Lepisosteus oculatus: one gene and its partner. Each later gene encodes a partner of the first gene's protein in a complex. Links are inferred from orthologs where the notes say so. Each region holds a gene or a part of one and is shown in the gene's direction. Other genes may lie near its edges.

The links.
Region 2: the proteins of rab9a (region 1) and sgsm1a are in contact, whole or in part, in a crystal structure (PDB 4QXA), measured with the Mus musculus proteins. The link is inferred for Lepisosteus oculatus from reciprocal best matches to the Homo sapiens genes RAB9A and SGSM1. Residues at the interface, in NP_062747.1 of Mus musculus: Phe37, Thr39, Ile40, Gly41, Val42, Glu43, Phe44, Leu45, Trp61, Arg68, Phe69, Leu72, Phe76; in NP_766306.2 of Mus musculus: Leu256, Leu257, Tyr258, Gly259, Lys260, Asn261, Asn262, Tyr277, Asn294, Met297, Asn298, Gln361.

The regions. Positions count from the first base shown.
Region 1 is NC_090708.1:21,968,196-21,971,949, forward strand, and holds the start of rab9a (ras-related protein Rab-9A), read left to right. Parts: upstream 1-1,149; 5' UTR 1,150-1,279; intron 1,280-1,293; exon of another isoform or gene 1,294-1,433; intron 1,434-3,754. UniProt on the Homo sapiens protein: The small GTPases Rab are key regulators of intracellular membrane trafficking, from the formation of transport vesicles to their fusion with membranes.
Region 2 is NC_090717.1:5,669,796-5,673,549, reverse strand, and holds the start of sgsm1a (small G protein signaling modulator 1), read left to right. Parts: upstream 1-1,542; 5' UTR 1,543-2,370; coding exon 2,371-2,389; intron 2,390-2,535; coding exon 2,536-2,579; intron 2,580-3,754. UniProt on the Homo sapiens protein: Interacts with numerous Rab family members, functioning as Rab effector for some, and as GTPase activator for others. Promotes GTP hydrolysis by RAB34 and RAB36.

The DNA.
Region 1 (3,754 bases):
ACGGTGAACTACTGTATGCCTAGTTGTGTTATGGGAAAATTAAGTAAATTAGAATTAGCCCCTAGACACATTTATTACTGCTGAGGTGCTGCATATCTCTTGCAATACCTCAGTTTATCACTGTGACAGTTTACTGTTTACTGTGATACAGTAGGCCTTTTGAAATCTTCGTAGCACTGGGGCAATCAATTAACAGTCACAAACATTTAATGGTCCCCGATCTTCAATGATTTATGTATCAAAGGAGAGAGGAAAATTCAATGTGACAAGTTCCAGTCTCCAGAGTCATAGCAAAGGATAAATGTTTGCGTAAATGAGCCTTGCCCGGGGGTCACATTTGGATATAGAGTTCAAACAGCTTGACTATTCATGCCAGAGGTGGGAAGATTTTCATGAAGGCTTAAAGCCTGTCTGATCAAATGGATCGTAGCAGAAGGATCTTTTTTCCAGAAAGTTATTTAAAAATAATGTCTCTGTCTTGAAGATTCTCTGTTTGTTGATTCTACTGTGTGTCTCCCCTTGTTGCGTGTACTGTGCCACAGGTTTTGCTGGGTCATGCACGTAAATGTTGTTTTTATGTGATGTAATGCTGGTGAGTGTGATGGGTGTGTGCCCTTACAATTATCACTTTGCTGACTTCTGTAGAAATGTTCTAATAGGTTACTATAGAGAACTGGGACAATTCTAAACCGGCTATACTGTAGGCCATCCATTGCTTACTTCATAAGGGTGTTCACACTTAGCAAACGATCTTTGGACTAGGAATTTCAAGAGACAAACAGAGCTGTGAAGTACAGTACAGTTTAATGTGCTTCATGCAAATGTCTTAAAAGAGTTTTTTAAATAGTCATTCCCTGTAGTCTGTCCTTCAGTTCGCCTACATTGTACTACAATTGATGATCACCATTCTCCACATAAATGCCATTACACTAGCGCGCTAGGTGGATTTCTTTCGGAAAGGTGAACGTGTGTCTGCAAGCATGAACCGCTAACCCGTGTGTGAATACACGCTGAAGACTACTGCACTGAACGTTTACAATGCGTTTTGGAGAGCGTGTAGCTCCGGCAGGACCAGAATAGTTGCTTGTCCTTGTACTCGGAGAGATGATACCGGCGGCGGCGGAGCTCCGGCAGGAGGCGGGACTTGACGCGGGGTCACATGAGAGTCAGCGACGCCATGTCAGTGCGGAGCTGCGGGGCAGGGAGACCGGGAAGCGGTCAGTAAGACGTAAGAAGAGGCGATAGCACCGTCTGACGTTCACGCCGGTCCCCGATACAGGTGAGGCTCAGGTATCTCTGGGGGCTGCCCTGAAACTCGTAACGTGTCATGATCTGATTTCTGCCCGGGCAGCGTCACTGTTTTAATCGCGGCGAGGAATAGGCAGCTATAGTCATCTGGAGGTGGAAGAAAAGTGGCAGAGAAGCAGGCCAGGGTGAGAAACTTACTCAACTGTTTATTTCATAATAATGAATACTAAAAGCTTCACTTGGTTGCCCGCCTTGAAAATATTGTACTGTTTCTCTTAATGCATGATCTGCTAGTTGCTTTTTAGTGACGTAGCAGAGAGGCAGTTTGGTTTGTTTACGCTGAATTAAAACTTAATTTCTGCTGCGCGGTGCAGCAGATTCGTGTGTTTCTAGCTGTATTTTTAATTCAGCGACAACATTGCAATCTTGAAAACGTTTCTGTCGTTTACGAGTGAGCATCAGCGCACAGATCTCCTGTCTAGTGCGGGCCTTGATATTAACAGACGTCCAGTTTTGTTTTCTATATTGTCTTTGTCTGCTTTTGTTTATACGGGCAGTTTCCAGGTGACCTGCTCGGTACAGTATATAATAAGTTAAGTGAACTACACGTACAGAAGACGCTAGTCTGGATATCCCTCTGATACTCGCCTCTCATGACTCCAGGCTTGTGCAGTATTTAACTGTAAAAATGCCAGCTTCCTGGTGGAGTACTTATCAGGAAACACCCCGTAGAAAGAAATATGAAAAACGTTTATATCGGTATTAACATGTACATAGACCCTACTACTCTGTGAGTCTAGGGCGATTTTTATGCTACGAAATTGTTTAACATCAGTTCCTAATACAAAAATTTCTTAGGCGCAGAAGCTGGGAAGAAGAATTAGGTTTTATATCATAAGTAGATCAGTACAATGTATAATTCTGTACCAATATTTAGAAAGAAACTCTTTTTGTAATGGTGTTAGATCAATTACTTGGAACTGGCCACAGTTGGTTTATTTATTTATAGTAAAAGTTATAATTTACTATAAATACTCAGTTTACCTGTAATAAATGCAACCGTTTTTTTTAAGTTACTGTCGGTAACGATCAGGTACCGTATTGAGCTTGAGGGGTTGGGGGACACGAGTTTTTACTTTTTCGTGGGAGACGTATAGAAATCTGCGATCTTGTGACTTGGGAGCGAGTCCTATCTATTGCTGCTGGTCGCGGAGCACATGATTCAAGACACAAACAGAGGGGGTTTCCGAAAAATGAGCGCTGCGGGGCGCCGAGATTTATTTGTGATGTCTCAGGCTTGGCCCTGCAGAAATTGTTACTTTCATGAGAAGGTATTCGTGGGAGATCCTGGAAGGAACTGTGGGTGATGCTAGCAGACAAATGTGGCTGAACGAGAACGATTGAAATCAGGTTTTGTTTGCAGAAAATTGACTCTTTTTAAAGAAAATATGTGAAGTTCTCAACTATTAAATGCCAAAAGTAGATGTATTTTTTTTAACTAATCTACTAATAGCAGATGGTCGTTTGGAAAATTTGAAAGTTATTTTTTTTCAGACTTTTGACTCCATGAGAGCCACTGCAAGCTCTTTAAACATTTCCTAGACCAAACAAGTATTAAAGTTAAAATGTGGGGTGTTTTTCTACATTTGTTTCTTTTAGTGGCCTATCTATTGTTGCATACATGCTATCAAATTGTGATTTGATAGCATGTATTTAGGACTGTATGATTTGGATTCGTTGTTTCAGAACATTCTGGAAACTGTGACTTTGTAAGCATGCATGTGGTTAGTTCAGTGGTGATCTGAAAAATAAGGTCAATATACAACTGTGGTAAGATACTCCTCAACTAACGAAAGCAAACAACATTTCGCATCACTTTGTATATCAACTCTGCACAACATGGGATTAGGGTTATGAGACAAATAATACACACTTTCCCCACATTAAATGTAAGCTCTTCAGAGACTGGATAAAGACATGCTTTAAATGCATTTGAAAAACTGTCGTTAGAGGTTTTACTCCAGGTCAGTTCAGGCAACATAAACTAATAGTTGGTGTATATTGTATGCAGGCAATACTGGTGGTTTTGCAGCCTCAATGTGATCTACTGTTTTTCAACACATCAGATTCATATCTTACATGCTAAACTGTAAGATATAAACAATAGAACGAGAATCATCTATTTTGCCAAGATGTATTTTCTTACCAAGAAGATATTATATAAGATATATAAAAATATATTCTTAATAAAAGGGCGTTTTTATATTTATATATATTTTTTTTTACTATGCAAAGGGTTAGAATGATTTGTCTGAATTGTCCTGAAACATTGTAAAATCACTTAAAGCATAACATCCTTTTTATTTTTCAGTAATAGTTTTTTACACTGCAGTTCACGCTCCTGGAAAAAATCCTTGTTTGATACAGATTTAAATACTTCTGTTACCAACTGGAAGCCCAGCAGGCTGGGAACTGTGAATCCACCTGGGAGCCTGGGAGTGTCTCC
Region 2 (3,754 bases), on another chromosome or scaffold:
ACAGAGCACAGAGTGCACTCAGTCCCCATAGCTTGTTATCCATAACGAACCAAAATAAGACAACAGCTTCTGACATCAGAGCCCCTGCATGTCGTACGGAAGACAAGCTGACCATTTACTTCTGTGCACATCTAGGAAAGTTTTCTTTTTATTAAATTCTAAAGCTTCTTAAAAAGGAAGCCTTAGATGAATCTACAAGTATTAAAATGAAGGGTTTGGTACTAAGAGAATCATAGTACATTTTACAATTATTAGCTACACCAAGTTAAATTTCAGCAGCAACATTTTATAATCCAAGAACGTTCTTTTTACAACAAAGTGATTATATTTTTCTGAACTTTAAAAACAAAATTGCTTTCAGGCATATAAACAATGCTACTAATAATAATTTGTGTAATTTCATACTTACATACCGTATGCAGTATGAACAATTAAGATGGGACTTAAACAGCACAACATTCTGGAAGGCTTCAATTTGCAAAGCTGTATCATTTTCCATCTTAGGCAATGTGTGAAATTAAATCCAAAGGCCTGTTCTATGTTCTTGTCACATAATCTTTTCACATTTTAATGTGGGAACAGAGACCCATTTATTTCCTTTAATTTATAATGCACGCTTGAATTTCGAACATCACACTGAATATTAATGTATTTGATGGACCCTTCAGTGATATCCACCTGCAGTTAAGCATTACTAATGAATGTCCTTACTGACCTTGAAATTCCCAATAAATTGAAAATTTATGACCCAAATGTAAGTACAGAAACGTAATGGCAGCTCAGTTTTTGCTCTGCTTGTTTCTATTTCCTAAAGTGATACTGTTTTTTTGATGAGGACCTTTATTTTGTTGAAGTGGTGCCACGAATGTATGTACAGTCATTCCCCTGAAGGAGTTTTTCCATGACAAGGAGTTTTTGGAGATTATATCTTTGAAAGTTCCTTGCTGATAGGCGTGTTCAACAAGCATACTATCTATATAGCTGGAGAAACACTCTGATCACACGCTGGGTAATCGGCTAATTAATTACATCTAGAAATAACAGAAAACAATATTGGGATATTAATGTATAACAAATTATTTTACAGGACTACCAGAAATCCTTGCAGGAAGTCCATCTGTCCTTTACCTAAGTCAGAGCACAAGACTGCATCAGCGAGTGAGCTGTACAGTAACAAGTAGATAATTCACAAGATGAAAAATGAAAGTTTTACTCTTTAGCATAGAATTAGCGTATCTTTTTTTCTCTGAGAGCAAGTGTAATCGGTGCCTATTGCCCAGGGTTGTTGCTTATAACACGGGAATTATGGACAGAGGACACTTGCCTCCTACATGTCACAAGCATATCTAGAATTGTTTATAGCTGATGAGCTATAACCTCAAAGAGCCTGGTGGACCTGTTCACTATATCTATATCTATCGTGTCCGCCTAATTATCTAAACTAATAAGGCTTACATGGTTGCTAAGCAACACAACATCCCCGGGAAGAAACGCTGCTCACGTGTTTTCTACCGAATCGCCTTCTGGTCTCTCTGTTTGGAGACAGAAACGAGTCTTAACGATTGTAGCATCTTGTCTTAAATTGCGCCTTAGTTATACAGTGTGCTAATTGTCGGTCTTAGCTCAGGTTGTGCACGTATGTGCTAACAACAGTTCGGTATTGTAGTTCGACTAGTCTGCAAATACCAATTTCGTGATGTTACTATTTAATTGCAAAATACACGCATTCACCTCATTATGCACGTTTTAGCATAATGCGTTAGGAGAGGTATACAAGTGGGTAATGAGATGTTTCGTACCTGTCCGTTGTTCCATTGCGTTTGTTTTATATAAAATTAATGTTTATAAATGTGTTATAACTTCGGAATGCCGATATACAACTTTAAGGTCTTGTAGTGAGGATAGCTAAGAAAAAAAAATACCTGTATAATCGGGACGTGTGGTGTAACTGAAATGCAGTTTAGTCTGAGTCTGCTATTTATGAGCAAAATTCTTCAAAGTGCTGTAAAGCAATTAATGCCCCTATTGCGCCTGCTTGTTCAACTTCAATTCGTAGGCGAGCACAGGCAGTGAAAACTTCTATTGAAATCTCGCGTATTCCTGTCAACGCAGTGGAAGTTCCTTGGGCTCCCTTAGTACTCCTTTAAAAGGCGGACTGTTCTAGGGAAGGAAGGGAAAAAAAAAACACTTCAGACCACCCTTTCCACAGCTTGCTGCTATTTGCTCTCCGCTGCTGTAGTGTACATTGCGTTCTGGGTAAGGAATGAGAGGAGCGAATGCGCCTCACTGAGCCGCCGCGACTTCGCACAGGTTCAGCCGAACGGTCGCTCTGGTCTTTCGCAGCTGAGAGGAGACAGCGCTACTGAATCCATGGCAACAGCGATGTCAGGTACAGAGAAAAGGGAATAAATATCACCATGTTTCGTTTTTGGTGCCTTTCTTAATGCAGTGTATTATATGAACGATTTTATTGGGTGCATGCTGCGTACCCTGCACTATGGAAAACAAATGTGTGTTTATTTGTCACGTTTTCAGAAGCGGAGACGCGTCAGAGACTGGTGCGGACGGTCAAGAAGGAGGTGGGTGATTTTTTTTCGCCTTTGAAAATATATCTGAATGTTTATGCATTGTACCTACCTTTAAAAAGCAGGCGAGTGAGTGGGGAAAGCTAGCCCTCTTGTATTATTGTGTCAATTGTACAGTCTTGATGGTATTGATGGATACGACAGCAGGATACTGCACAGATAATGTTTTGCAGCTAACGTTTATTTTGAGGACGTCTTCTTCAGGTGTTTAATTGTTTTAATACTTTGGTTTGGCTGGTTATTGGGGCTGCATATTTCTTTACTGATGTACATCCACCGGGCGTCACAAGAACACACACAGGGACGTTATCCGGGGTGAGATGAAGATCCTTTAGTGCATTCTTGTTTCACAAGAAGAGGGGTACGAATATATAGTCGGTAATTCAATTTCGGTGCCATCCTTACATGTTTTGGAACCGGAGCCACTTTAGTTAAACACCGAGAACATAAGAAGCTTCGGTTAAATGCTATGCAAAGTCAGTGGCTGGGATCTACTACACTTTGTCACTCTAGATCACATTGGATAGTCAAAAGATTTTATTTGAGTCGATTTATTGCTTATCCGTCAATCAACGCTAAAATCAAAGCAAGGGGGTTGTTCTTGGGTGTGTAAATGATGCGTAGTTTTGCACTTGTGAGCCCACTGTCAAAATGCTGCCAGCTGTTTCAGGTTCCCCTGTTTGTTTTGTTGTTGATGATGATTGTGTTGTTCAGTTTTTTCTATTGTTAAGATTTGATGAGAGAAACTGGGAGCTTTTTGGTTTGTTGTAATAAGCTAGCCAGTTGAATTCACCTTCTTAAAAAAATCTACAGACAAATTTTAACAAGCAGCTCTATAAAATTCCAACATTAGCACCCCTGCCTAACTGTGCTGACCATACTGATGTTAAGCATGAAGATAGTGCATTATTGACACTTAAAACATCATGCAAGGGATCTTATTTGGATTAATGGTTTTGTATTTTCTCTTATTGTAATGTGCTGTTTCTTTGTTAAGCTCATTTAGTGCAATGCAAGTTTATGGAAAAAATACAGTGGTAATTGAAATGGCTGTTTTCTTTTCTTACTGAGCCACAAGGTGTATTATTTATTCATACAGTGTTGCTGTGTACAAGCATGCAAAAACTCCTGACTGCAGTACTGTATGATATGATGCACCCCTCAATTCC